Linked DNA regions of Stegostoma tigrinum. The protein of the gene in region 4 interacts with the protein of the main gene of each other region in a biochemical or structural test. Links are inferred from orthologs where the notes say so. Each region holds a gene or a part of one and is shown on either strand. Other genes may lie near its edges. The genes, in order: cdc7, protein DBF4 homolog A-like, chek1 and mcm2.

Region 1 (8,005 bases), on a different chromosome or scaffold from region 4:
TGGTTGTTCAACATCCAGAAGGTTCTCAGCATCACAGGTGTCAGTCTTCAGCCAATTTGATTCATTCTCCATGTGATATGTAAGAAATGGCTGCAGGCATTAGAGACTGCAAAGGATTATGGTCCCTGACAACATTTTAGCCAAAGTACAAGACAAATGCTCCAGAACTTAGCACAACCCTAGCAAGCTGTTCCTATGCCGTTACAATATTGGCAGCTACTCGATAATATAGAAAACTGATAGGAATGTCCTATACGCACAAACATAGGACAAATCCAATCTGAACAATTACTGCTTCATCAGTCCACTCTTCCTCAACATTAAATTGATGAAAATTATCATCAACAGTGCCCTCAAGCAGCATTAGTTATAACCTGCTCAATGACACTCAGTTTGGGTTCCACAAGGACCACTGAGTTCATGGCCTTCTTCTAGCCACTGTCCAAAATGGACAAGACCTGAAGTCCAGAGGCAAGGAGAGCCTTAGGCATTCGAGAGTGGAATCCTGGGAACCCACCAAAACTGGAATCAATGAGAATCCTGTGTGGGGAGGGGTTGAACTCTTCACTCTTGCGATTATACCTGGTACAAATGTTGGTGGTTGAGATGGAGTGTGTCAAGTCATTTCATCTTCTGGACTTCTCTGAGTGAGTCAAAAACCTGGAACTCCACCCCTTATAGCATTGCGTGTTTACTGATATTTTCGGCCTCTCCCTTTCTTGAATTGAGGTGTTACATCTGCAAACTTTCAATGTGACGGAACAGGAATTTAGGATTTTAGATTGCATAACCAATGCAGCTACCATCTCTGCAGCCATTTTGTTTAAAACCCACAGAACATACGATCCAGTCCAATGGACTTGTCAGGCTTTAATTCTAGTTGTTTCCCATTACCTCTTAGTGAGTGTGATTGCTTTAAGTTTCTCTGATGTGTTTACATCTTGATTTTCAACTGCTGTTTTTTTGTTTTCGAATGTGAGAACGGACAAAATAAACTGTTTGATGTTTTCACCAGCTCGGTATTTTAATATTAATAATTCCACTGTCTTGCCCTCCAAGGGAGGTACAGTCACTTAAGTATTTTTAATAGAGTTTCTACAAATATTAACAATCTGCTTTTAAGAGGTTTAGTTAGCTTTCTCTCGTTTGAGATTTTGTCCTTGCTGCTTTTTCAAAGCAAAACACATTTTACCAAAGCTTTTCATTTTGTTGTTATCAGGACAATTAACACCACCAAAACCAAGGCAAAACAATATTTATACTGCGTGAGGAGTGCTGATGGCTAAGCAAGTAGCAACTGATATATTGAACCACTGCCATGGGAAATGCATAAGTTAATAACGATCAACAGTTATGTGCCAGCTTTGTTTAAATTTTAGCCAGAAGGGTTGACTCTGATTGGTTAAGACACTACCCTTAGAAAAGGAATTAGAGAATGACTGTCAATATTTTGTTGCTGACACAGGGGCAGTGAGTGCAAGTATTTTGTCTACCATGAATAGGATCCTGTGTATCAATAATATATAGCTCCAGTATATGCCAATCCTATGTTGGTTGTCAGCATAAGGAACAATAATGACGAAAACTGCATTCCCCAAAACGGCTTGCCATGCAGTGCTTCAGTCAGTCTGTTCATTTATCTTGCATACCCCTCCTCTCTAGTCCACAGAAGCTTGGAGAACCCACAGGACAATAGTGTCCATGCCTCAACCAGACTCCACTGGCTGGAAAGCACTTTGTGACTTCTAGTGTTTATGGTTGGCACTACAAAAATGCAAATTTGCACTTCAACTGAGTGACCTGTATTCAGCAATGTTGATTTGACTGATAAAGGTCAGAAAAAAACCAGGGTAGCTCTTGGGTCTGGTCCAGAAGCGGAGGAGGGATATTCTTTCAATGAAAAAGGACCAGACTATCCAATTTATTTCTACGCTTCTTGAGATAACTCGAGAGGCCATTATCCCGTCACCAACTAACACCTGAATCACACATAAAGTGTCCTTGACACTGAACCAGCTTCCTCAGAGCCAATTGAGTGGACAGAACCTCAGCCAGGACTCCCTGATGGAGACTCGTTCAATTACAACATTTAAAAGGCATCTGGATGGGCAGGAAGGGCTTAGAGGGATATGGGCCAAACGGGAGTGGATTTATTTGGGACTACTGGTCAGCATAGATGAATTGAACCAAAGGGTATGCTTCCATACTGTACAACTCTACAACTGGACCAGATTAACAGCCTCAATTAGGGAACTCATATTCTATGAAGTCAATCTGGCACTCCTCAACTCAATCACCACAATCATGTCAACAGGTTACTGAAGAGTTCATTGTTTTGACCATCCAAAATATCAAAGCAAAACCCTCACATAAAATTTTGGTGATTAAACCCCAAAACCTTCATCCAAATTTGTTATTGCCCACTGACACTGAAGAACAAAATTGATGCAATACTGAACTCTTATGGAAGGCTAGCCATGGGAAATTGCCCATAGCATCTAGGGATGTGCAGTGTTTCAGGGATTAGGTGAGTGGGGTGCTAGGTCTGGCTGGGATGGTCTTCAGGAGGTTAGTATGGACTCGATGGGCCGAATGGCCTGCTTCCACACTGCAAAGGGTGCTAATGACTGTATAATCATTAATTAATTAATAAGCCAAAATAAACAGCTTGACACGCCCATATGTAATTCTGCCTCATTTTAACCTGATGTTTATTTGAATTTGTCAGATGTTTATGATCATCTTTTGTGTTAAACGGAGGAATTTGCTTCACTTCAAAGGAGGCCACATTCAAGCCCCGGACTGCGTGAGTCCTCCCGAGATAAACCACGTCCCATTATCTCTCTCTCCAACCACGTTAGACACCGTTCTTACCGAAGAAAAGTGGACACCGAAAACCGATTCCGGAGCGGCAAACCCGCCGACACCCAGCCCCACAGACACAGAAACGGAGAGAGCGCCAACAAAATGCCCGCCGAAAGTAACTCCGCCCCGCAGCGTAAGAGAACCGACACCTCCCCGCCGCGCGGCTCACTGACACAACCTACCCCGGACCCTGGATAACTGATACACCCCGCCCCGCACCGCGGCTCACTGACACAACCTACCCCGGGCCCTGGATAACCGATACACCCCGCCCCGCACCGCGGCTCACTGACACAACCTACCCCGGGCCCTGGATAACCGATACACCCCGCCCCGCACTGCCGCAAAAAATAACAGACACACCCGGCCCCGGGCCGAGGAATAACACATACGTTCCGCCCCGGACCGCGGATAATTGATACTCTCCACCCAGCCCCCTCCAATAATTAACCCCTGGTCCTGGAAGGCACCAGAGGTGCAGGAAGGCTGATGTTTCGGGCTTAGAACCTTATTCAGAAATGAGCTCGTCCCCGCCTCCCTAACCTGTTGTTCCTCTCACCTATCCCCTCCTTCCACATCAAGCCGCATCTCCATTTCCTACCTACTAACCTCATCCCGTCCCCTTGACCTGTTTGTCCACCCCAAACTGAACTATCTCCTCCCTACGTATACTCTGCTCTCCACCCATCTTCTCCTCTATGCATCTTTGGTCCACCTCGCCCCTCTCCCTATTTATTCCAGAACCCTCACCCCATCCCCCATTTCTAATGAAGGGTCTAGGCCCGAAACGTCAGCTTTTGTGCTCCTGAGATGCTGCTGGGCCTGCTGTGTTCATCCAGCCTCACATTTTATTATCTTGGATTCTCCAGCATCTGCAGTTCCCATTATCTCTATTCACACACGGGACACTGGATAACTGACCATTGGATAACTATCCCAGACCTTGCAGAAGTGAAAACTTCCTGCCCCAGGCCCTGAATAACTGACATCTCCTTGTCCCAGACCCTGAATCATTGCCCTCAAACCCCTACCCACCTTACCTTCCCTGAACATGGATAACTGCCACCTCTCCAGCCAAGCCCCTGGATAATTGACACCACCCTGCCCAGACCCTGTATAATCAACACTACCCCAACCTGGAGAAGTGGATAACCAATACACCACACTGGACTCTGGATAACTAACATCTCCCCCGCCCCAGACTATGGACAGCCAACATCTCCCCTTACCTGGTTCCTGGATAACCAATACATCCCCCCCGGACCATGAATAATTTACAATTCCCCAACCATGGATACCAGACACATCCTATCCCAGGTCTTGGAAAGCAGACACTACCCCATCCAAGACCATGGATAATTTACACATTTCTCGCCCTGAACCCCGGATACCTCCCTGCTCCAGACCCTGGATAACTGTCATCTTCTCACCCTGGACCCTGGATAATTAAACAAAAAAAGCCAAAGAACAATACGACACAGGAACAGGCCCTTCGGCCATCCAAGCTTCTGCTGACATAATTTGCCCTTACATACTAAAATTGTCATCACTTACAGGATCCATATCTCTCTATTCCCCTCCATTCATGTAATCATCCAGGTAATTCTTGAAAGCTGCTATTGAGTCTGCTTCCACCACCTCCTCTGGCAGTGCAATCCAGGCACTCACCACCCTTTGTGCGAAAAACTTGCCTCGCACATATCTTTTAAACATCGTGCCCCCATCCCCACTTCAACTTGAATCTGTGTCCTCTATTAATTGACTCCCCCATCCTGGGGAAAAAACCTCATACATTCCACTCTACCCATGCCACTTGGAACCTTAAAAACTTCTGTCAGGTCACCCCTCAACCTCGTGCATTCCAGTGAAAACAAATCCAGTCTATCCAACCTTTCTTCATAGCTAAAATCCCCCAGACCAGGCAACATCCTGGAAAACTTTTTCTGTACCCTTTCCAAAGCATCCACGCCCTTCTAGCAGTGTGACCAGAACTGTACGCAATATTCCAAGTGCGGCCTAACTGAAGTTCTACAAAGCTGCGGCATAACATCTATCTTATGACTCAATGCCCCTTCCAATGAAGACAAGCATGCTAATAAGCCTTCTTTACCACCTTATCTACCTGCTCTACTGCTTTCAATGATCTTCGGACCAGACATCTCTGCATATCAGTACTCCGAAGGGTTCTGCCATTCAATGTATAATTCCCGCCTGTACTTGACCTTCCATAATGCATCACCTCACATTTGTTCAGATTAAACTCCATCTGCCATTTTCTGCCCACGCCTCCAAATGATCTACATCCTGCTGCATCCTCTGACAATCCTCCTCGTATCTGCAACACCACCAATGTTTGTATCATAAAACCATACTGTCTATTGCTAATAAGTTTGTTTGCTTCTGACTGTGTATAAATCTTCTCCCTGAGAACCTTTTCCAATAATTTCCCCAACACCGACGTGTGACTCACAGGTCTGTAATTTCTGGGGTTATTTCTGTTACCCTTCTTAAACAATGGAACATTGGCTATCCTTCAGTCCTCTCAGGCTTCAGCTGTGGCCAAAGAGGATACAAAGATGTCTGCCAATCTTTCAGCAATTTGTTCACTTGCTTCCTTCAATATTCTGAGAATTGTCAACTCTCTACCCTGAACCCTGTATAATTGACACTCCCAACTCAGGACTGTAGATTACCCACACATCCCTGCCTCGGACCCTGGATAACCAACACCTACTCACCACAGATCACACACACCTTCCCCACCCTTACCCTAGGTAAGCACACGTTCCATCCCCTAACCCTGGGTAACTGACACAGTTCCCATTACCTCCCCTTTACGTCTCCATCCTGTCCCTGAATAACCCAACCTCCCAATTCTAACTCTGGATAACACATATCTCCTTGGTGTGGGCCTTGGATAAAGTCATAGAGATTTACAGCATCAAAACAGATTCTTCAGTCTGACTTGTCCATGTCAACCAGATATCCTAGATAAATCCAGTTCCATTTGCCAGCATTTGGTCCACATCTTGCAACCCTTCCTACTCATATACCCATCCAGATGCCTTTTAAATGTTGTAATTGTACCTGCCTCCACCACTTCCTCTGGCAGCTTATTCCATACACGCACCACCCTCTGCATGAAAAAGTTGCCCCTTAGGTCCATTTCAAATCTTTCCCCTCTCACCTTAAACATATGCCCTCTAGTTTTGGACACCATAACCCTGGGGAAAAGACCTTGTCTTTTCACCCTATTCATGCCCCTCATGATTTTAAAAACCTCTATAAGGTTACCCCTTAGCCTCTGATGCTGTAGGGAAAATAACCTCAGACCATTCAGCCTCACTTTATTAGATTAGATTCCCTACAGTGTGGAAACAGGACCTTTGGCCCAACAAGTCCACACCGCCCCTTGCAGCAACCCACCCAGACCCATCCCCCTATAACCCACACACACCTGAACACTACGGGCAATTTAGCATGGCTGATCCACCCAGCCTGCACATCTTTGTGACTGTGGGAGGAAACCGGAGCACCCGGAGGAAACCCACGCAGACACAGGGAGAATGTGTAAATTCAGCATAGACAGTTACCCGAGGCTGGAATCGAACCTGGATCCCTGGCACTGTGAGGCTGCAGTGCTAACCACTGAGCCACTGTGCCACCCTCGATCACTCAAAACATCCAACCCTGGCAACATTCTTGCAAATCTTTTCAGAACCCTTTCAAATTTCACCCACAGATCCCTACCCCTAGTCATTGGATAACAGATGCCTCCCACTCCATCTCTGTATAACCTGCACTTCCTACTCTGGACCCTGCACAACCCGCACCTCTTGTCCCAGACTCGATAAGTCAGACCCTGCCCCAAAGTATGGGTAACTGATACCACCCCACCAAGGACTCTGGATAACTACCATCTCCCCACCCAGGGCTCTTGAATTCTCATATCCATACTTAAGGAAGGATGTGGAGGAAATGTAACAAATGTTTACCAGACTGATTCCTGGGAAAGCGGTCTGAACCAATGGTTGGAGTCTAAGGATAGACCGTTTAGAAATGAGATGAGCAGAATGTATTCAGAGAGAGTGGTGAGCTTGTGGAGTTCTCTGCAACAGAAAGTGGCTGAAGTCAAAACATTGAATGATTCCAAGATTGAGGTAGGTTTGCTTTTCAAGTGGTCAAATGTTAGTAGGAGAAAGTGAGGATCATGTTGAAAGTGTGATCATGTTGAATGGCAGAACAGGCTCAAAGGACCAAATGGCATACTCCTGTTCCTATTTTCAATGTTTCCATGAACAACCATCACCTCTTGGCCTGGAAACCCTTTCCCTCTGCCTCACACTCTCAGTACCACTGTCCATCCTGGAACCTGGATAACGCTACTGTCAATTGTCATACCACCTTCAAAAGTCTTAATTATCCAAATTACATTCCAGTCTAAATTCCTGAAAAGCAAGCACTGGGCCCAATACAACATCATCTGGAGATCCTGGAAATCTGAAACCAGAAAATGCTGGAGAAACTCAACAGGTCTGGTGGCATCTGTAGAGAGGAAGGCAGAGTGGTGTTGCACATGCAATGACCCCTCATCAGAACTGAACTGGGCCGACTGGAGATACCTTGAATCATTCTATTCAGAATTGCTATGACACTTGAACCCAAACCTCCTGGCTCAGACATAGGAACATTACCACTGTACCACAAAAGCCCTACAGAACCAACTGAAAACAATCTTTCAGTAACACAAAACACCTGCTAATTATTACACTTCTGACCGAATCCGTTTGGTTGCTCCCATTGAGACAAGTCTGCATCCACCTTGCAGTCTTTCCGTGGATGCTGTAAGGTTTTAATTTTCTTAACCAATCCACTCTGTTGGAACTTGTCAAATGTCTTGTTAAAATCAGTGTAGACTACATCAAACAGGCAACAACCATCACCACTTCTCATTACCTGTATTAAAGTAAAAGCAATGAAGTCAGACTGCATGGACTTCTGTGTACAAGGCCTTGCTGATTATCTTTGATCTATAACTCATTAAACTAAAATACATATTGTCCCTCAGAATTTTTCCAAGAATGTTCCCATCACCAAGGAAGGCTGACTGGTCTGTCATTATATTATTTCAAACAACAAT
Region 2 (7,880 bases), on a different chromosome or scaffold from region 4:
TACCTTCCCAATTTTTATTCGAGTGGGAACAATTTCTTCATATCTAGTCTGTCCAGACCATTTATGGTTTTGAAACTTTCCATCAAATCTCCTTTTAGCTTTCTCCTCAGTGGAAACAGTGCCAACTTCAATAAATTATGTAGTTTCTTATCCTCTCAATCCATTCTTGTGCCTTTTCTGCATTCTCTGAGGTGTATTCACATCCTTCCTGAAGTGTGGCAAGTAGAATTGCACACAATACTCCAGCTAAAATCTAACTGGTCTTAGACGTTTGATGCAATATCACTGATCCTATAAAGCCTTGAATACTGTGCGCTTTATTATCTCGTCTCACCCTCATTTGCTACCATTATTTAGCAATACAAGTATACATCCACGTCTTAGTCCTCCTACACATGCTTTACAATACCATCCTCTTTTTTAAACTTTTTCTCTCCATGTTCTTTAAACCAAAATATATGACCTCTCATCTCTGTGCACTGAACTTATCTGTCACCTATGTCTCTATTCCACCAACTTGTCAATGTCCTTTGAAGCTTGATACTGTCCTCCTCACAACTTATAAGGCTTCCAAGTTTTTCACTGTCCGCAAACTTTGAAATGATTTCCTATATGTTAAGGTCTCAATCATTCATATAGGTCGAGAAAAGCAATGTCCAAAAAATGATGCCATTGAACTTCATTACAAATCATTCCCCCAGCCCAAGAAAAATCCATTAAACATTACTCTATATTTTCACTGTCTCTTTTATCAGGTGTGTTGTACGGTACTGCAGCAAGTTCCTTTTAGAAGTGCAGGCACACGATATCAGCACCATTATCCTCTCAAACATTGGTTCCCACACCAAAATAAAAATCCAGCAACTTACATAAATGCAATTTACCATTAAGAAATTCACCCTGGCTTTCCTTAATTAATTCTCATTTTTCAATATGACTATTAATTTTATGCCACATTTTTACTCGTCAAAGTCTCCCCCCTGCCAAAATTCAACTGGCTCAAAATGTACTTATAGTTGTATACCCTTTTTTTAAAGAAGTTTTTTGCGATTCCCAAAGTCCTCTGGTAGCACCAAGAGGCGCAGCAAGATAGTAGAAACTATGGCCGGTGCCACTGCAATTTCCACTCATTCTTCCTTCAGTATAATTGGATCCATGTCATCCTGTTTGGAGTCATGTCTGGTTTTTGTGCTGGTAGTTCAGATGGTTACCTAGGATAAACAATTTTGAACATTTCTGGCGACTAAATGTTCTCTTCTGGCACCATGCCCAGATAGCATCAGCTTCTTGCAAAAGGTATTTGCAAAGTATTCACTTAAAACCTCTACCATGTTTCCATCCATAAAATATTGCTTGTGAGCTCAGTTGGCTTGACAAATGACGTGAACATTGGGGATTTAATTTCTGCATCGGCTGAGGTTACAATGAATGTCCACTGAGGTACAGGGCACTGCAGGTGCTGGAGAATCCAAGATAACAAAGTGCGGAGCTGGATGAACACAGCAGGCCAAGCAGCATCTCAGGAGCACAAAAGCTTTTGGCCCGCTGTGTTCATCCAGCTCCACATTTTGTGACAATGAATGCCCTATCTCCTCAACCTCATCTGTCACCACTACCAGTGGTCTATCACTAATGGGAGAGCAGCTCTCTGGGACAATGGTGGCTTTACCTTTTACTCTCTTGGTCTCTCTCTCTTCTTACCATCCTTTCACAAATTATGTGCCCACAGAATAGCCTTTGGGATTTCTACTTATGTCAGCTGCCAGTCTTTGTTCAGAAACTCGTATATGTTATAATAATAAACTACATGCCTTGCTATAATGTCATAAAATAGAAATAATATTAAAATTATTCAGCATTTGCTCTCACGAATGGAGAGAAGATCTTTAACATTCTTGTGAAGTTTCTCTTTCGGCAAATCAGCGTACTTCTAAAGGCAGCGATGACTCAATGACAAAACTTGCATTGTATAACCTTCACAATCACGATATCGAGCAAAAAAATTGTAGTTTTGTTAAAGTACTGAAGCAATCTTTCAGAAACTACAGCGTGTAGCGACTAAATAAACTTTTATTTGTGATCCTTAACGAGGAATTGGCCAAAGTAAACACGGCTACTCTTAGATGCCCTAAAATCACTCAATTCCATCTGAGACAGCAGGACAGAGATTGGGTTAGAAACCTCCGAATGTTCCTGCGAAAGGAAAATGTGGACATATATTTGCGAAGGGCAAACTGTACGAGGGTGAGAGATTTGGGCGGGGGCGGGGGGATGAGAGAAAGCTCTTTTCAAGAGCCAGCCCAGGGGACGATGGGCGAGTGACCTCCTTCTCGAAGAATCCTCGCGCCAGAAACAAAAAAGTTAAACTAGTACAAGTAAACACCGTTGGATGGAAGCATTAAGGTTATTTCCCCTCGCCCCCAAAGTGCTCCTTTAAACGTTGGGGTCGATGCGGGTCTAGCACAGAGCGGTTCCCGAATAACGCAGTTGCCGCCATCTCCTTTAAACGGCGCCTCGCGGTTATCAATTAGCTCCCGGCCTGGAGCACTCACCGGCAGCACTTCCTTCCTCCAGTCGCCTTTCTTTCTCTCTCTCCCCCTCCCTCGCTTTCTCCTCCACTCAATTTTCACTCTACCCTTTTTTTTCCTTTTTCCCGCCGGTCGCGCAATGGCAGCGATCTAAGTAAAACCATCCCCATTACCGGTTCCGCACTTTCCACACGCACCACGTGCGCTGGGTTCCGACGAAAGCATCGATTAAATCCAGCGCCTCGCTAACGAAGTGAAAACACGAAGGGGAGGTTCGCGCGGAGTAGCCAGTGGTCATCCGCGGAACAGAAAGCGGGGTTGCTCGAGGTGGATCAAATGGCGAATGTGCCGGCAGTCGACAGGAGAAGGTGCGTCTTTCGATCCCGGGTACGCGTCGTCACCGCCAGTGGCCGCTCGGCACGTCCCGGGCTCAGGCTGCGGTAATGAACCGGGACCAAGGCCCCTGGCTGAGAGAGTGACAGTTTCCGAGCACGTGTGAGAGAGGCTGATGTGGGTGGGGGCTGGTGTGGAGATGGTCATCCCAGCTCATACCCCACAGTCTCTTTCTATCTCATAGAAACAACACCACCCCCCACCCACCCTCCACAGTCTGATGATCACCTTGAACCAGTAAGCAACTCCTCCTGCCATCGGTTTATTAACCAGCCCAAAGGTGAGGCACTCATTCAGCTCCTTATTCTAGTTGCTGCCCGAGAGTCGTTGAGGCGAAACAGTGAGTACGGTGAAATTCTTTTCCCACCTTCGTCTTCCCTCTCACACTCGGTTTGATTCAGTTAACGTTATGCAACTACTTGTTTTTTGTTATTTCACCGTTGTTGGAGTTGGAAGAAATACACTGTTTACCGTCCTCCGGCTCGCTTATGAAATGAGATTTACCTGAGTGGTATTTCAGTTTAAGACTGAAGTATTTTTCATTAAGTTTTTAATCTTTCCAGTTACAAAAATCTAATATAAAATAGATGCTGCTTGACCTGCTGTGTTCATCCAGCTCCACACTTTGTTATCTCTTTCTCTTGACGTATGGGAATGCTTGCTTATGCCGCAATTTTAAGCATATAGGTTTGAAATTGGGTACGTTTATCAAATGGCAGAAAAATGCAATAACATTTACAACCTCAATTGGATATTTTTGCCTCCTAAGTTTGGGGATCCATTTCATTTTACAAATTATACAGATCTGCAGTTACATAAATGATTGTGTTAAGCTATTCTGGTTTATTGAAGCTGAGACAATTTAAAGTACAATTTTGGGTGTGTGATTTTGTGAATCTATTTTGATAACAAAATATGTTAGCTTTTTCACTACCCAACATGTGCAGGATGATAAAGTGAGCTGCAGCACCCATTTTGTTTTTACATTTATATTCAATGAATACAGTTTAATTTTGTATTGTATTGCCGTGACGGGTATTTTAACTATGCAGTGGTTACTGTTTCTATCTTTGTTCCTGCAGCATTGCTTGAGTGTTGTCATGTTGCAGGGAAAACTTTCCGTTCATAAAACATCATATCTTTTAGAAACAGCTCAATAGTTTATATGGCAGTACTTGTAGTAAACCTTTTTTCAGTTGACGTATTTGAATATCACAACCATAAACTGATCATAACTTAATTGGTTATATATGAGATAACAAGGTGTAGAGCTGGATGAACACAGCAGGCCAAGCAGCATCTTGGACCAGGAAAGCTGACGTTTCGGGCCTAGACCCTTACTAAGATGTTGCTTGGCCTGCTGTGTTCATCCAGCTCCACACCTTGTTATCTCGGATTTCCCAGCTTCTGCAGTTCCTATTATCTCTGATTTATACATGTGGCCTGATTAGATGTCTTTTTCCTTATCTGCTTTTCAATGTGACAGTTGCACTGTTGCATAACATTGCATCAGTTTAAATTGTACAGACTAGTAAAAGGGCAGTGAAGTGATCAAAAGAATTAAGTTCAGCATTGACATTTAGTCTTGAGGTGTACTTGGCCTACAGTTATACATGTTAAATTTCATTTTATTTAACTTTTTAGACTTGGTTTAGTCTTCATTCAGTGTTGCTCAACATGAGTTAAAGGACTAGCACTTTTCCTTTTAGTTGGGCATTTTAAAGATTTTTGGACTTTGATGTTTAAATATTTTTAGCTTTTAGACATTGCTTATTTTTTTCAGTGATTTTCTTGTATTCAAAGCATGTTAGCTTATGCTTTGTTAAGGTGCACCTACTCTTGTTTTACATAAACGTTTAATCCTCGGACCCATTTACAACTTTCGGCACTTGGGTTTCACGGATTTTTTCTGTCTCTAATTTGTTCTCACTCTCACATAATGCATTTTACATATCTGTAGCTTCAGTGTCATTTCTCGGGAAGAGGGTCATTACAACCTGCCAGTTGGGAGCTTCCATATCCGAGTTAAGTGAACTTAGATATCAGGTTTCAAAGCATTGCTCACCTTATTCAGCTTAAAATGTTGTAATCTTAAAGAACACCTGCAAGCCGATGCTTTCAACATCATTTTGTTTAGAATATTACACTAAGATTTATCATTATCAGCCCCTCAAAACGAGGATAACTGTCCCAGGGCCCAGGCTGCATGACTTTGTGTCCTATGCTCACTGCACTAACCAATGAAGGCAAGCGTATCAAGTACCTGCTTCACCACCCTACCTACTTGTGACTCCACTTTCAAGGATTAATGAACCTACGTCCCTAGGTCTTTTGATTCAGCAGCACTCCCTCGGACCTATCAATTAAGTGTACAACGCCTGCCCTGATTTGCCTTAGCAAAATGCAATACCTCACATTTATCTAAATAAAACTCCATCTGCCACCCCTCATCTGATGATCATCTGATCAAGATTCTGTTTTACTGTGAGGTAACCTGAGGTGCAGGTTCATGGTTCCTTGAAAGGGGAATCACAGGTAGACAGGGTTTGGTACGCTTGCCTTTATTGGTCAGTGCTTTGAGAATAGGAGTTGGGATGTCATGTTCCATTTATGTAGGGCATTGATTTGGCCACTTTTGGAATACTGCGTTCAATTCTGGTCTCCTTGCTGTAGGACGGATATTGTAAAACTTGAGAGGGTTTGGAAAAGATTTACAAGGATGTTGCCAAGAGCTGGAGGGTTAAGATACAGGGATCAGCTGAATAGGCTGGGGCTATTTTCCCTGGAATGTTGGAGGTTGGGAGGTGACATTTTATAAGAGGCTTATAAAATTATGGGGGGGTGGAGGGGCATGGATGGGGTGAAAAGCCAAAGTCTTTTTCCCCAGAGTAGAGGAGTCCAAAATTAGAGGACATAGGTTTAAGGTGAGCAGGTAAAGATTTAAAAGGGATGTAAGGGGCAACTTTTTCATGTACAAGGTGGTGTGTATATGGAATGAACTGCCAGATTAAGTTGTAGTCTGGTATAATTATAACATTTTAAAAGCATCTGGACAGGTACATCAGTAGGAAAGGTTTTAGGGGCTGTGGGTCAAATGCTGACAAATGGGCCTAGTTTAATTTAGAATATCTGGCGTGGAACAGTTGGACCGAAGGGTCTGTTTCTGTGCTGTACAACTCTGACTCTAGCGCATTGGAGAAGCCTCACCCAATGTAGTAATCACTGTCAGAAATTAACTGCAAACAGAGTAGCAACAGAAGTGGAATGTGGGAGACAGTAAAACCTTGACTTGAAAGCCCATCTTGTTCAGGCAACCTGTGCCCTCTCTGCCCAAAGATCTGTGGCAGGGGGAATTTGCCTCCTGACTCAGCTGAACATATTTAAACTGAGAAAAGTTAATAAGCAAACTGTAGTCTAATTTAAATAGTTAATGTTGTGAACATTAAATCTATGACAAATTTATTGGTTTTGCTGATAGAACATTGCCATGAATTCTGTGCAGCATTACTACAACAGCACAAGGTCACTTGGGAAAGACTTTCAGAGTTGTGCACATGTCACGGTACAGATATTTTCATATCACTAAGGTCACCTTGCTTGTTGATTATTCTGCCAAAGTAGAAGACCTGCTTTTCAGCAAGAGTAAGTGGATCTTCGTTTATCTTTTGAAACCGTTCTTTGTTACCTGTAAGGAAACTTTAATGTTCATGAACAGTTACAGCTTCAATATTCATGAAGTAAGTTGATTTTTTTTTGTTTGACTAAAATAGGCAGGTTTTCACCAACAATTCCTATACCTGTTGCTTCAATGATCCCATTTTAAGAAGGTTGACACTGGCAGTAAGCACAAGGATTGCTTTGTTTGAAGGTTGTTACAAGAGATTACACTGATTCAAATGTTGAATCTACTCCAGCCAGCAAACATTTCTGATTAGCCTGTGAAGGTTATGAAGTAACTTTTTAAAAAATCACTCAGGGTGTGGGCTTTGCTGGCTGGACATCCATTTATAGCTCATTTGAAATACATTCACTGTGCTGCTAGAGAGGGAGTTCCAGGATTTTGACCCTGTGGCACTGAAAAAAGCAGCAATATGTTTACAAGCCAGGATGGTGAGCACCTTGGATCTTGTAGGTGGTGATGTTCTCATTTATTTGCTACCATTGTCTTACTTATGGTAGTGGTCCTATGTATGAAAAGTGCTGAAGAAGAATGGTATTTTTGTACAGTGCATCCTGTAGATGGTACACACTGCTGCTACTGAGTGTCTGTGAGGAGGAAATTAAAGTTTGTGGAAGTGATGCTAATCAAATGGGATGGGTTTTGAGTGTAACTGGAGAATTGCACTTACACAAGCAATTGGATGATTTATGCCATAAAGATAGTGGACAGGGTACAGGTAATGAGGAGGTAAATTACTTGCACATCCACCACCACATCATTACCACCAAGTCAGAGTTCTGGTAATGATGTGGTGGTGGATTTGGTTATAGATTCTGTTTGAGTCCCTTTCTGCTGCTGCTGAAGGCCCAGAGGACCTAATAGATGTCCAACCTCAAGTTGCTAGATCTAGTTGGAAACTGTCCCATTTAGCATGGTGGTAGTGCTACATAATACAGTATGAAGACAGGACTTTGTCTTTATGGAAACCCTGCCATAGTTATCCCTACTCATACTGTCATAGACAGATATGAGCGTGACAGACACGTTGGCGAGGATGAAGTATCTGAGGCATGGTTTGTCAGTTATTATTCCATGAGTATGACTATGTCAAGCAAATGTTGACTAGCAAATGAGACAGGGTATACGCTGCTGCCATAGATGCCAGTGTTGGAGGAAGTGATTGTTTCACTGGTAGACATGGTGCTGATTAACGGCGTTGCTTTGCTTTGTTTCGGATGTTGCTTATGGGGGATTCAGCAATGGTTATGTCATTTAATGGCACTGGTAAAAGGTTAAAC
Region 3 (7,667 bases), on a different chromosome or scaffold from region 4:
CAGAATTTATATGTGGAGAGATTATTGCAAAATAGGTAATTGTGAGTGTCAGAAGACAGTACAAATAGTGTGAATAGAGTGTCTAAAGGCTGAATGGCAAGTCTTTGCAGGTGATCAAAAGTGTCAAATGGTGTAAGTAAAGTGTCAGTAGCTGAATGGCAAGTGAAGGGATGACCTATGACCCGATTAATTAAGGCAGAGAGATAGCAACAAAAAAAAATCAAAACATAAGATGGTGCTAGAGACAAACCAAATGGCTGGAATAACATGATTGGTATAAGAGCGGCAAGATAAGGCGCTAGATCAGTTTAGGATATCTGGTCAGCACGAATGAGTTGGAACAGGAATGGCGGTGGGGAGGGGGTGGTGGTGTGGAGGGTGGGTCCTGTTTCTGTGCTGTATAACTCTATGTCTGTGACTATGACTTAAAATGAGACATGAATATAATGTGGTCATGTTTAGTAATCACATAAAATTTACCATGCTGAGTTCATGCAGTTACAGAGACCGGATTGTTGAATGCCAATTGGGAAGACTACAGATAAACTGAAGTTATTAAGTACGTGTCAATGGAAACAGTTTTAACAGGCTGCTTAAGTAACCTTTGCTGATGTATTATGCAACATCCTCAAAGTTGTTTTGGAGTCAATAGCTGTGCAGTGTCAAATTCTGCTCCCTGCCAATTTCACCAGCTCCTCCTAGATTTCTCTGGCATCACTTTCTGCCTCATTCAGTAAACAGCAACCCATTAAAAACAAGATGAACTCACATCACCCTCTTCCGACAAGCGCCTGCACTCAAGGAACTCGTTCCCCAGAATGCAGCACTTCCTCTTGAACTCACATGACCTCCCTTGCTACAAGTGACAGAAGAGTTCACTGATGCTGTACTGGGTTCGACTGAGTGAATGAACTCACTTCACCCTGGTGAAGTCAGCCAGTGAACTCGTCTCACCCGTGCCCACAATCCTTCACTGCAGACCTCCCAGACCACACTCGTGGCTGCATCATCACATTCTTGGCACAGCAGAGACAAAACGAAATCAGAACTGAGCACTAATGGGTCTGGCAAGATGCGACTGTGGGATCACATTACAAACATTGAAGGTAACTTAAATGTTGCCTTTGATTCTCAAACACGCCATTGTGCTATTTGAATAAAGGTAGCTTTGACTTTGTTTTATAAAGTAACTGTTTAGCAATGATTGCAATATATCAGTCTTCTGCGTAATTTAAAAATAAACAACTTTGTATTAATTTTCAGAAGTTTATTGCTGATCTTGAGCGTTCAATGAGTGGTAAATAGAATTTGGATTTCTACACAGCCTCTCACATTCGTGGGATACTCTGAATCCCTGCAATTACTGCTGAAGTACAGCCAGTGGTTTTTCTTTACAGGTAATTGCAGTAAACAAATTGTGCAAAGCATGACCCCAATGACAGCAACAATAGAACCAGTTAATCATTTCTGACTGTGTTTCTGGATGGAGGAACTTTAGGTTAGACATGAGAACTCCTTACTCTTTGAACAGTGCTGTATGATTTTCAGGCTCCACTTAAATTCATCCAAAAGATGGCACTAATGACAATTCAGCCCCACTGCAGCACTGCACTGAGTTGTTGCTGTAGAGTGTACACGAGATAAAAGTGATGCCGATGGAGGTAACTGCCATCCCACATCTGCCTAGCACCCTAATCCCATGCTTTCCTCCATATTTACCCTTTCGCGAAAGCTGTGATAGGGGCTGGGTCTGCTGCTAATGATTAAATCTCAGAACACATTCACTGACTGTTGCAAAATGAAGGTGTAGATTCCACAATGATTCTCTTTACCAGTGGATTCATAGATTCCTGGTCAGGCTCATCACATAAAGCAGATAACAGTACAGCTGAGGAACACGACCTTTGGTCCACCATTTCTGTGCCAACCATAATGCCATTCCAAACTAATCCCATCTGTTTGCACATGGTCTGTAACCCTCCATTCCCTGCCTGTTCATGTGTTTGTCTAAAAGCCTTTCAACTGTTGCTATCATATCTTCTTTTACCAACTCCCCTGGCAATGTGTTCCAATCACCGCCTGCATGGAAAACTTAACTCGCACATCTCCTTTAAACTTTTCTCGTCTCACCTTAAACCTATGCCCCTTGTACTTGAAATTTCCACCCTGAGAAAAAGGCTCTGACTATCCACCCTATCCAGGCGTCTCATAATTTTATATTATTCTAGCAGGTAGAAGCCTCTGACACTCGAGTGAAAACAATTCCAATTTGTCCAACCTCTCCTTTTGACTCATACATGCCAATCCAGGCGATATCCTGGTAAATCTCTTTTACACCCTCTCCGAGTCTAAAACAGGAGGTTCCTCCCCAGCAGTCTTCAGTGCAGAAATCATCTAAGGTATGTGAGGAATTTTTAATGCAATCAAGGCTGGAAGTAGGATTTCTCACACTGGTTGGAAAATCTGTGCTAAAACTCTTAATTAGGTGAAATGTAGGAAGGTCCCTGATAGGGCAGGAAACATGAGCCTTGAAATAATAAAAGAGTTGGTGGGGCAGGGCTAAAAGGAATGGTAAGTCCATAACCTGATTTCACCTTCTATAAATTAACAGTGTTACATTCTCAACTCTTCCCAGTCCTAATGAAAGGTCGTCATCCTAAAAAAATTGGGCTGGATTTTCATGGAGTTAGGGATACTCCACAAAGGAATACGCATGACAACAAGAATCCATTTCCAGAATTCCTGGCCATATTCCAGCACCAAGAATTTTTACCAATGTCTCTTAAGGACAGATGGGCCTGCACTTCTGGCCTTCTCAACTGCATAAGTGATATTGGAATGCCTTGGTCTACACCAATTTCAATGGATCCATCCTCAATTTAAAGGTCTCAAGGTTCTTTAGTAGATTTGTAGCTTGGGTTGTGGATGCTGTGGTTGGTTCACTCGCCAATTTGGTTAATTGGTTGGCAGACGTTTTGTTACCCTGCCGGGTAACATCATCAGTGCAGCCTCCGATGAAGTGCTGTCATGTTTCTCACTTTGTATTTAAACTCTGGGGTCCGTTGGATTTGATTACCCCATTTCTGGTTTTCCTTCACAGCGGTCTATGTATAGGGTCTATATGTGAACACCAACTAGCAACAAAAGGACACGACCAAAAAATACTCACTCATCTCCTTTCACATGGACAAGGAGAACAACCAGTTCGATTGGGACAACACCAGGATCCTAGGACAAGCTGAACAGACAGAAGAACGGGAATTCCTAGAGGCCTAGTTCTCCACCAAGAAGGCCATCAACAAGTGCATAAAACGGGACCATATACACACATCACTGCAAAGGAAAACCGGAAACGAGGTAATCAAATCCACATTTCCCAGAGTTTAAATACCATACAGGAAAACACAACAGCGCTTCATCAGAGGCTGCATTGTTGATGTTACCCAGCAGGGTAGAAGAAACATCCACAAACTAACAAACCATATCAGCGAGAGAACCAACCACAGCATTAAAGGAATGGGTTTACATCAGAACATTGTGACACATTGTCTGGATGAGGGAACTCATTTTCACAATGCCACTATCAGACTAAAATTCTCTGACCAGGCCTGCAACACCCTCTATGCCAAGTCCCAGAACATGAGGAGAGCCATTCAAACAGTGTGTCCTGTGCCCCAGCAGCACCTATGGCTTTATCAGAACTGTCTGATGCCCGTAGCCTTTACTCTTTTTTTTGACAAGAATTAGATTAGATTCCCTACAGTGTTGAAATAGGCCCTTTGGCCCAACTGCCCCTTGGAGCATCCCACCCAGACCCATCCACTATAACCCACACACCCCCGAACACTACAGGCAATTTAGCATGGCCAATCCACTGAGGCTGCACATCTGTGGGAGGAAACTGGAGCACCTGGAGGAAACCCAGGCAGACACAGGGAGAACATGCAAACTCCACACAGACAGTTGCCCGAGGCTGGATTTGAACCTGGGTCCCTGGCGCTGTGAAGCTGCAGTGCTAACCACTGATCCACCCAGCTGGCAACTCTTGTTAGCATCCAGTGGCTGCACTCAGTTGGAAAACAGTGTATTGGTCCTACCTCTGAATGCAGTCACATTGAGCTGGGGAATCTGAGATAATGGGAACTGCAGATGCTGGAGAATTCCAATATAATAACGTGTGAGGCTGGATGAACACAGCAGGCCAAGCAGCATCTCAGGAGCACAAAAGCTGACGTTACGGGCCTAGACCCTTCAACAGAGAGGGGTATGGGGAGAGGGTTCTGGAATAAATAGGGAGAGAGGGGGAGGCGGAACTGGGGAATCTCATGGCTCCCGCTCCTCTGATCCATGCACATGAAATGCGATTCAGTAATTCTGTTCTTGCTCCATTGATGCATTCCTGCCCTCTGAAAGTTATCAACATCCTCTGCTCATATTTACAATTTTGTTGCAATTAAACTGAATAACTATCCACCTAATTTCCAATTCGATGTGATGAAGTGACCCTGGTCTACCACACGATCAAATCCAGCTGCAGTCGCTGTGTCACTAACCCATTCAGAACAGCGCCAGCTTTGAAACTCCCGCCCGCGCTGACGGCACCGCCAGCCTCAAGCCCCCAGCAGCGCGGTGACGTCATTGCAACGTGTTGACGTTCGCAAGGCGCGAAAATCCATGGGAAGAGCGTTACGCAGAGAGAGTGAGTGTGAAAGACGGAGAGAGAAAGATGGGGGAATGAGTGAGTGAGAGAGAGAGAGGGAGATGGGGGAACAATTCAGTGTGTGTGTGTGGAAGAGAGGTGGGGGAATGGGGTGAGAGAGAGAGAGATGGGGGAATGAGTTGCTGTGTGTGTGAGAGAGAGAGAGATTTTGGAATGAATGAGTGTGTGTGTGTGTGAGAGAGTGTGATGGAGGAATGAGTGACTGTGTCTGAGAGAGAGAGAGATGGGGGAATGAGTGACTGTGTCTGAGAGAGAGAGATGGGGGAATGAGTGACTGTGTCTGAGAGAGAGAGATGGGGGAATGAGTGACTGTGTGTGTGAGAGAGTGTGATGGAGGAATGAGTGACTGTGTCTGAGAGAGAGAGATGGGGGAATGAGTGACTGTGTGTGTGAGAGAGAGAGATGGGGGAATGAGTGACTGTGTGTGTGAGAGAGAGAGATGGGGGAATGAGTGACTGTGTCTGAGAGAGAGAGATGGGGGAATGAGTGACTGTGTGTGTGAGAGAGAGAGATGGGGGAATGGGTGACTGTGTGTGAGAGAGAGAGATGGGGGAATGAGTGACTGTGTGTGTGTGAGAGAGAGAGATGGGGGAATGAGTGACTGTGTCTGAGAGAGAGAGATGGGGGAATGAGTGACTGTGTGTGAGAGAGAGAGATGGGGGAATGAGTGACTGTGTCTGAGAGAGAGAGAGATGCGGGAATGAGTGACTGTGTGTGTGAGAGAGAGAGATGGGGGAATGAGTGACTGTGTGTGTGAGAGAGAGAGATGGGGGAATGAGTGACTGTGTGTGTGAGAGAGAGAGATGGGGGAATGAGTGACTGTGTGTGTGAGAGAGAGAGATGGGGGAATGAGTGACTGTGTGTGTGAGAGAGAGAGATGGGGGAATGAGTGACTGTGTGTGTGAGAGAGAGAGATGGGGGAATGAGTGACTGTGTGTGTGAGAGAGAGAGATGGGGGAATGAGTGACTGTGTGTGTGAGAGAGAGAGATGGGGGAATGAGTGACTGTGTGTGTGAGAGAGAGAGATGGGGGAATGAGTGACTGTGTGTGTGAGAGAGAGAGATGGGGGAATGAGTGACTGTGTGTGAGAGAGAGAGATGGGGGAATGAGTGACTGTGTGTGTGAGAGAGAGAGATGGGGGAATGAGTGACTGTGTGTGTGAGAGAGAGAGATGGGGGAATGAGTGACTGTGTGTGTGAGAGAGAGAGATGGGGGAATGAGTGACTGTGTGTGAGAGAGAGAGATGGGGGAATGAGTGACTGTGTGTGTGAGAGAGAGAGATGGGGGAATGAGTGACTGTGTGTGTGAGAGAGAGAGATGGGGGAATGAGTGACTGTGTGTGTGAGAGAGAGAGATGGGGGAATGAGTGACTGTGTGTGAGAGAGAGAGATGGGGGAATGAGTGACTGTGTGTGTGAGAGAGAGAGATGGGGGAATGAGTGACTGTGTGTGTGAGAGAGAGAGATGGGGGAATGAGTGACTGTGTGTGTGAGAGAGAGAGATGGGGGAATGAGTGACTGTGTGTGTGAGAGAGAGAGATGGGGGAATGAGTGACTGTGTGTGTGAGAGAGAGAGATGGGGGAATGAGTGACTGTGTGTGAGAGAGAGAGAGAGAGAGAGAGAGATGGGGGAATGAGTGACTGTGTGTGTGAGAGAGAGAGAGAGATGGGGGAATGAGTGACTGTGTGTGTGTCTGAGAGAGAGAGAGATGGGGGAATGAGTGACTGTGTGTGTGTCTGAGAGAGAGAGAGATGGGGGAATGAGTGACTGTGTGTGTGTGAGAGAGAGAGAGAGAGATGGGGGAATGAGTGACTGTATGTGTGTGTGAGAGAGAGAGAGAGATGGGGGAATGAGTGACTGTATGTGTGTGTGAGAGAGAGAGAGAGATGGGGGAATGAGTGACTGTATGTGTGTGTGAGAGAGAGAGAGAGATGGGGGAATGAGTGACTGTATGTGTGTGTGAGAGAGAGAGAGAGATGGGGGAATGAGTGACTGTATGTGTGTGTGAGAGAGAGAGAGAGATGGGGGAATGAGTGACTGTATGTGTGTGTGAGAGAGAGAGAGAGATGGGGGAATGAGTGACTGTATGTGTGTGTGAGAGAGAGAGAGAGATGGGGGAATGAGTGACTGTATGTGTGTGTGAGAGAGAGAGAGAGATGGGGGAATGAGTGACTGTATGTGTGTGTGAGAGAGAGAGAGAGATGGGGGAATGAGTGACTGTATGTGTGTGTGAGAGAGAGAGAGAGATGGGGGAATGAGTGACTGTATGTGTGTGTGAGAGAGAGAGAGAGATGGGGGAATGAGTGACTGTATGTGTGTGTGAGAGAGAGAGAGAGATGGGGGAATGAGTGACTGTATGTGTGTGTGAGAGAGATGGGGGAATGAGTGACTGTATGTGTGTGTGAGAGAGAGAGAGAGATGGGGGAATGAGTGACTGTATGTGTGTGTGAGAGAGAGAGAGAGATGGGGGAATGAGTGACTGTATGTGTGTGTGAGAGAGAGAGAGAGATGGGGGAATGAGTGACTGTATGTGTGTGTGAGAGAGAGACAGATGGGGGAAATGAGTGACTGTGTGTGTGTGTCTGAGAGAGAGAGAGATGGGGGAATGAGCAACTGTGTGTGTGAGAGAGAGCGATGGGGGAGATGAGTGACTGTGTCAGAGAGAGATGGGGGATTGATTGACTGTGTGTCTGTGTGTGTGAGAGAAGATGGCGGAATGAGTGACTGTGAGAGAGAGAGAGAGAGAGAGAGAGAGATGGGGGAATCAGTTGCTGTGTGTGTGTGAGAGGGAGAGATGGCGGAATGAGTGACTGTGTCTGAGAGAGAGATGGGGGATTGATTGACTGTGTGCGTGTGTGTGTCTGTGTGTGTGAGAGAGAGATGGGGGAATGAGTGACTGTGTGAGAGAGAGAAAGATTGGGGGAATGAGTGACTGTGTCTGAGAGAGA
Region 4 (7,564 bases):
GACCACTGGAACTCAGTTAACTTAGGGGGATAACAAGAAGATGTGGAGCTGGATGAACACAGCAGGTCAGGCAGTATCAGAGGAGCAGAAAAGCTGACGTTTCAGGTCTGTACCTTGATTCAAAAATGGTGGGGAAGGGGAAGAAATAAAGAGAGACGGGGAGGCAATGATAGAAAATAGAGAGTACAGCAGATAGGTGGAGAAAAGATGGACAGGTCAAGGAGATGCAAACGAGAGGGGGGTGCTGGTCTTGGGATTAGGTCGGGGGTGGGGAGATTTTGAAGCTTGTAAAGTCCACATTGAGACGAATCGGTTGTAGGGTTCCCAGGCGTAATATGAGATGCTGTTCGTCCAGATTTTGGTGGCATCCGTGTGGCACTGGAGGAGGCCCAGGATGGACATGTCGTCCAAGGAGTGGGAGGGGGAGTTGAAGTGGATCGCGACTCGGAGGTGTTGCTGTTTGTCACAAACCGAGTACAGGTGCTCCACAAAGCAGTCTCCAAGCTTCTGCTTGGTTTCCCTGATGTAGGGGTAGCCACGTCAGGAACAGCGGATACAATATACCACATCAAACAGATGTTCACCTGCTCATCCGCTAATGTGGTAGGGTGTGGGGGTGTGGGGGCAGGTGTAGCACCTTCTGCGGTTGCAGGGAAAGGTGTTGGGGGTGGTGGGGCTGAGAAGTTAATGGAACAAACCTAACAGGGCTAGTGGGGAGCATACAGCAGACAAGGGAGTCACAGAGAGAGCAGTCCTGGAAGGCAGATAAGGGTGAGGAGGGAAATATAGTCTTGGTATGGGGCCAGATTGCAGGTGGCAGAATTAGCAGAGAATGATGCTTTGACTTCAGAGGTTGATGGGGGTGATATATCAGAGTAAGGGGGATTCTGTCTTTGTTGTCATTGCGGGAAGGGGGTGTGAGGGCTGAGGTGCAGGAATGTAAAAGATGCAGTAGGGGGCATTTTTGACCATGGGGGGTGGGATTTGTGGTCCTTGACAAACAAGGACATCTGGGATGTCTGGGAGTGGAATGCCTCACCGTGGGACCAGATGCGGTGGAGGCGAAGGAATTGGGAACAGTGGGTAGCATTGTTGCAAGAAGTTGGGTGAGATTAGGTTCAGGGAATTTGGGAAAGATAATAAAATTAGAAATTGCAGGAAAAACTCAACAGGTCTGGCAACATCTGCGGAGAGAAAGCAGAATTAACATTTTGTGGCCAGTGACGTTTTTGTTTTTAATTTCCAACAACTGCAGTTCTGCCAGTTTTTAAAAAGATGTGTTACGATATTTATAGCTAGCATTTAAATTATCTGGAACATTCTGACCCAGGTTCAGTGACAAAACGAATGGGCATTTCAATCAGGAAAGGGGTTGGTGGGGCTAACTTTGCACCTCACAGCACTGCAGCAATGAAACAGAATGGGGTCTAGGTCACAATTTGAATGAGTAGGTGACCGCGGGATCACATACCCTTCTAATGTAGTATCATACAGTACAGAAGCATGTCCTTGACCCATCATGACTACATCAACAAAAACCGCTCGAAAAAAAACACTGGTCTCATTTTCAGCATTAGACCGACAACTTTGAATGTTAAGGAATTTCAAATGCTCACCCAAATACATTCTAAAGGTTGAGATATTTCCCATGTCAACTACCCTCCCTGGCAGTGCATTGCAGACACCTTCCCCCGCCCCAAAAAAAAGCCTCTGAGCTTGCTTTCCTCGAATCCCTGTAAACCTTCTACCTTACGAATTAAAATTATGTCCCTTTGCTGTTGACCCTTCAACTCAGGGAAACAGCTGATATCTACCTACCCTGTTTGTATCCCTCAATCTTACACCACTCAATCACATTCCCCCCCGCACCCGCCCCGGTGCAAATTACAGCAGATGAAGGAATCTGACACTTCATCAGAGTCATCTCGACTTGAAACGTTAGCTTGCTGTCTCTCCGTGAATACTGCGATCGCCAGCACTTGTTTACAGTACAGGTTCCGCACACCCTCCAAACCCCACCACCTTCTCTGCTCTAAAGGAAACAAGCTGACGCTATCCAGCCTCCCTTTTTCTCCCCAGGTTAGGGGGCTGCAAATGTAGAGGGCATGGGTCCAGGTGAGAGGGGGAAAGATTTAAAGGGAACTAAGGAGCAACTTTTTCATGCTTAGGATTGTGTGTGTACAGAATGAGCTGCCAGGGGAAGCGGTGGAGGCTGGTACAATTACAACATTTAAAATGCATCTGGATGGGTACATGAATAGGAAGGGTTTACAGGGACAAGGGCCAAATGGGGCTACGTCAGATTGGGATATCTGGTCGGAGCAGAAGAGTTGGACTAAAGGGTCTGTTTCCACGTTGTACAACTCTATGATCCATCCCAGGCAACATCCTGGTGAATTTCTTCTTCACCCACTCCGGTGCAATCACATCTTCCTGTAATGTGGTGACCGCAACTACACACAGGGCTCCGGCTGTGGCCTAACCAAAGTACTATACACCGACGATAACCTCCCCACTCTCATATTCAACGTCTTGGCTAAGTTGCCCGAGGGCCTTCTGAACTACCCTATTGACCGGTCCTGCTGCCTTCGGGGATTCGCGGACCTCAAACCATCTCTGGCCTACATGTGACTCCAGACCCAGAGCAAAGCGGATGGTTCTCAACTGACCCTCTGGGCAGTTGGGGATGGGCAATAAATGCAGTGACGCCCTCATTCCATGTGCGATATAAACAAACAACAACCCCTTCAGGATCTCTCTGAGCCTCCTACCACTTATCATCACGCCGGAGGTCGGGATGTGAGGAACATCACAAACCACTTTTCCCCTCAGTGTTTTATCTGACGGGCTCTTAGCTGCAGCTTTCCCCTAACCCCACTCCAGAAACACCTCCCTCATTCTCTTCCACTCACCGCCATTGCCTCCTTCTCTCCGGCTCCTCACCGACAAACGGACTAAACCCCTTTTCGCGCCAAAACCACCCACCTGACTCCGATTCGCGCCAAAACCCAGTCGTGTGTTCTACGTCACCGCGGCCCCATGCATGTCAATGAGCACTGCGTCATCGGCGCACAGCATCAGACATCGCCGGCTGTAACGGGTCATGGATCGATTGAAGACGAGGCGTACGTATTGCTATTTAAACATCGCGGTCTGCGGCCTGGAGCCTGTAGGGAATGGTGTTCATCAATTATTTCTCGACGGGGCGCTACTGATGCTCACATTGGAAAGAGACGCTGAGTTCCCGAATGGATTGGCGGTTCAGATTCCGCCCCTCGTGCTTGTGATTGGCTGTAGGTGGTGTCCGTTAGGACCTGACCTCTCGCGGATTGGCTGGCCCACACGTCAATCAACCCTACATTTAGGGACCGTCTCCAAATTGTAAAGGAGACCATTTTTAAAAAAGCACAGGAATGGGATAATACTATTGGATGAGGGCCGCATTGTTGGGCTAATACACCAGAGACCCAGGTAGCGTATTCAGCACGTAGGTCCAAATCTTGTCATGCATGATAGTGCAATTTGAGTTCAATTTTAAAGAATTTGGGATTAAGAATCTGAGGATAACCATTGCCAAGAGAACCCAACTGGCTCACTAATGTCCTTAAGAGAAGACCACAGGATATAGGAGGCCCATCGACTCTGTTCCACCATTTGATCATGGCCGATATGATTCTCAACCCCATTTTCCTGCCTTCTCACTCTTGATCGCCTTACTAACCAAGAACTGATCTAGCTCTATCTTAAATATACTGAACAACTTGACCTACACAGCTCTGTGGAGCAATGAGTTCCACAGATTTACCACCCTCTGGCTGAAGAAATTCCTCCATCTCTGTTCTAAAGGGTTGTTTCTTTCACTCTGCTGTTATACTTGCATTTTAGCCTGTCCTATTAGTGGAAGTATGTCCACTCTATCCAGACCACTGGATTCTGGAAGTTTAGATGAGGTTCCCATTCCACCCAACCCTTCTAAACTCTTGACAACTCCTCATCCCAGGATCATTTTTGTAAACCTCCTCTGGACTCCCTCCCTCTGCCTCCTACAAGCCAAAGTCCCCACCTGCTTCAAGAAGACCACTCTCATCCCTGTATCCAAGAGAACACATGCAGTGTGTGTGCAGTGACTATCACCCATTTGCTGTCTTCAATAATCATGAAGTACTTTGAGAGGCTGGTCATGGCTCACATCAACTCCAGTCTCCAAACTTGCCTCAAATCCCTACAATTTGCCTACCAACATAACAGGTCCACAGAAGATGCCGTATCCCTAGCCCTGCACTCATCCCTGGAGCTCCTGGACAATAAAGAAACCTACATCAGACTTGTGCTCGTTGACTAAATGTCCGCCTTCAACACCATTGTCCTCTCCAGACTGATCTCAAAACTGCGTGATCTTGGCATCAGCTCAGCACTCTGCGACTGGATCCTCAGCTTTCTGACCCATAGGTCACAATCAGTGAGGATAGGTAACTGCACCTCCTCCACAATAACCCTCAACTCTGGAGTCCTCCCCCACCCCACCAAGGATGCATCCTCAGCCCCCTACAGTACAAAGAAACAAAGAAACCTACAGCACAGGAACATCGGCCCTCCAAGCCTGCGCCGATCAAGATCCTCTGTCTAACCTGTCATCTATTTTCTAACGGTCTCTGTCCATTTGCTCTCTGCCCATCCATGTACCTGTCCAAATATATCTTAAAAGACGCTAACGTGTCTGCGTCTACCACCTCTGCTGGCAACGCGTTCCAGGCACCCACCACCCTCTGTGTAAAGAACTTGCCACGCATATCTCCCCTAAACTTTCCTCCTCTCACTTTGAACTCATGACCCCTAGTAACTGAGTCCCCCACCCTGGGAAAAAGCTTTTTGCTATTCACCCTGTCTATACCCCTCATGATTTTGTAGACCTCAATCAGGTCCCCCCTCAATCTCCGTCTTTCTAATGAAAATAATCCTAATCTATTCAACCCCTCTTCATAGCTAGCACCCTCCATACCAGGCAACATCCTGGTGAACCTCCTCTGCACCCTCTCCAAAGCATCCACATCCTTTTGGTAATGTGGTGACCAGAACTGTACACAGTACTCCAAATGTGGCCGAACCAAAGTCCTAAACAACTGCAACATGACCTGCCAACTCTTGTACTCAATACTCCGCCCAATGAAGGAAAGCATGCCATATGCCTTCTTGACCACCCTATTGACCTGCATTGTCACCTTCAGGGAACCATGGACCCGAACACCCAGGTCCCTCTGTTCATCAATTTTCCCTAGGACTTTTCCATTTACTGTATAGTTTGCCCTTGAATTTGATCTTCCAAAATGCATCACCTCGCATTTGCCCGGATTGAACTCCATCTGCCATTTATCTGCCCAACTCTCCAGTCTATCTATATTCTGCTGTAATTTCTGACAGTCCCCTTCACTATCAGCTACTCCACCAATCTTAGTGTCATCAGCAAACTTGCTGATCAGACCACCTACACCTTCCTCCAGATCATTTACATATATCACAAACAACAGTGGTCCCAGCACAGATCCCTGTGAAACACCACTGGTTACAGGTCTCCAATTTGAGAAACTCCCTTGTACTACTACCCTCTGTCTCCTGTTGCCCAGCCAGTTTTTTATCCATCTAGCTAGCACACCCTGGACCCCATGTGACTTCACTTTCTCCATCAGCCTGCCATGGGGAACCTTATCAAATGCCTTACTGAAGTCCATGTATATGACATCTACAGCCTTTCCCTCATCAATCAACTTTGTCACGTACTCAGATTGTTGAATGGACTCTGGCCTCAAATAATGAAGATGCCCTAAATAATGTAACCTGCAATGTAACCTGTATGCCTTTAAGTCTTTTTGATCTGTACATCCTTTGCTTGCTGTCATCTGCCTCTAGCGCTCATAAACAAAGCATTTCACTGCATTTCGATATACAAGACAATCAGTGAATAATATCCTTCCTTAAAATACATCGCCCAAAACTGCTGACAATATTCTAAATGTGGTCTGACCAGACTCTCGAAATTGGCTCAGCAGCACGTTTCTGTTCTTGCATTCTAGCCCTCTTGAAATGAATGGAAGCATTGCATTTGACTTCCTAACTGCCAACTTTACCTGCCTGTTAACCTTGAGAGTCAGCACAGAAACAGACCCTTTGGTGCAACTTATCTGTGCCAACCAGACTTCTTAAATTGAACTAGTCCCATTTGCCTTCATTTGACCAATATCCTTCTCGACCTTTCTTATCCATGTACTCATTCAAATGTCTTTTAAATATAGTAATTGTATTCACCCCTACCACTTCCTCTGGCAGCTTGTTCCATGTACTCACCACCCACTGTGAAAAAGTTGCCCCCCATTTTAAATCTTTACCCTGTCACCGTAAAACTATGCCTGCTATTGAGGTTGGTTGGCTCGCCGAGCTGGTTTGTCGTTCCACAGACGTTTCGTTACCATGCTTGGTTACTCATTCGTCTCAATCCACATGGACAAGGAGAACCACGACTTCAACTGGGACAACACCAAGATCCTGGGACAGGCTAGGTAGAGACAAACACGAGAATTCCTGGAAGCATAGCACTCCACGTAGCAGGCTATTAATAAACACCCCATATACATTCCACTATGGAGGAAACCCAGAAGTGAGGCAATCCATCGCAATGGTCCACAGAGTTTAAAAGCCAGGCGGGAAAACACACTGATGCTCCATCAGAGGCTGCACTGAGGATGTTACCCAAGCACGGTAATGAAACATCAGCAGAACAACAAACCAGCTCGGTGAGCCAACCAACCTCAAACACCCACAACCCGAGCTACAAATATACTCCAAAATAATGCCTGCTGGTTTTGGTCGCAGATACCCTTGGCTATTCAACTTATCTATGCCCCTCATGATTTTATAACCCTCTATAAGGCCAACCCACTGCCTTCTCTGCTCAAAGGAAAGTAGTCCCAGCCTATCCAGTCTCTCCATATAACTCAAACCCTCCAGTCTCAGTAATACCCTTAAAATCTTTCTTGCACCCTTTCCAGAGTACACCTCAAATTTATCTGCGTTAAACTCCATCTGCCATTCCTTAGTCCATTTAGAGTTTATAGAGTCACACAGCATGGAAGCAGACCCTTTGATCCAACTAGCCCACAATGACCATATTCCCAAATTAAACTAATCCCAACTCCTGTGCTTGGCCCATATTTCTCCAAACCTTTCCTATTCCTGAACTTATCCAAATGTATTCTGAACATTGTAACTGTACCTACATTCACCACTTCCTCTGACAGTTCAGTCCACATACACACAAACCACTGTCTGTGTAAAAGAAAAGTTGCCCACATGTCCTTTTTAAATCTTTCTCCTCTCACCTTAAAAATATTGCCCCTAGTTTTGAACACCCCCTCCCTAGGGAAAAAAACTGTGACATTTACTTTATCAATGCCCCTAATGATTTTATAAACCTTCTATGATCCATTGAAAAAAGTACCAACCTTTCCAGTCAATTTTGTAATCTCAAACCCTCCATTCCTGGCAACATCCTGGTAAATCTTTTCTGAACCCT

Evidence for each region.
Region 1: of the proteins of mcm2 (region 4) and cdc7, one has a biochemical effect on the other in vitro, tested with the Homo sapiens proteins (8 studies listed by BioGRID). The link is inferred for Stegostoma tigrinum from reciprocal best matches to the Homo sapiens genes MCM2 and CDC7.
Region 2: of the proteins of mcm2 (region 4) and protein DBF4 homolog A-like, one has a biochemical effect on the other in vitro, tested with the Homo sapiens proteins (3 studies listed by BioGRID). The link is inferred for Stegostoma tigrinum from reciprocal best matches to the Homo sapiens genes MCM2 and DBF4.
Region 3: the proteins of mcm2 (region 4) and chek1 form a complex in vitro, tested with the Homo sapiens proteins (2 studies listed by BioGRID, with this or other methods). The link is inferred for Stegostoma tigrinum from reciprocal best matches to the Homo sapiens genes MCM2 and CHEK1.

The regions. Positions count from the first base shown.
Region 1 is NC_081361.1:87,370,799-87,378,803, forward strand, and holds the start of cdc7 (cell division cycle 7-related protein kinase), read right to left. Parts: upstream 3,009-8,005; 5' UTR 2,875-3,008; intron 1-2,874. UniProt on the Homo sapiens protein: Kinase involved in initiation of DNA replication. Phosphorylates critical substrates that regulate the G1/S phase transition and initiation of DNA replication, such as MCM proteins and CLASPIN.
Region 2 is NC_081355.1:113,236,987-113,244,866, reverse strand, and holds the start of protein DBF4 homolog A-like, read right to left. Parts: upstream 3,011-7,880; 5' UTR 2,897-3,010; coding exon of another isoform or gene 2,865-2,896; 5' UTR 2,702-2,864; intron 2,684-2,701; exon of another isoform or gene 2,553-2,683; intron 1-2,552. Other genes in the region: probable mitochondrial glutathione transporter SLC25A40, read left to right, coding at 2,865-2,896. UniProt on the Homo sapiens protein: Regulatory subunit for CDC7 which activates its kinase activity thereby playing a central role in DNA replication and cell proliferation. Required for progression of S phase.
Region 3 is NC_081385.1:31,882,215-31,889,881, forward strand, and holds the start of chek1 (serine/threonine-protein kinase Chk1), read left to right. Parts: upstream 1-4,652; 5' UTR 4,653-4,699; intron 4,700-4,713; exon of another isoform or gene 4,714-4,738; intron 4,739-7,667. UniProt on the Homo sapiens protein: Serine/threonine-protein kinase which is required for checkpoint-mediated cell cycle arrest and activation of DNA repair in response to the presence of DNA damage or unreplicated DNA.
Region 4 is NC_081364.1:5,791,569-5,799,132, forward strand, and holds the start of mcm2 (DNA replication licensing factor MCM2), read right to left. Parts: upstream 3,004-7,564; 5' UTR 2,919-3,003; coding exon 2,913-2,918; intron 1-2,912. UniProt on the Homo sapiens protein: Acts as a component of the MCM2-7 complex (MCM complex) which is the replicative helicase essential for 'once per cell cycle' DNA replication initiation and elongation in eukaryotic cells.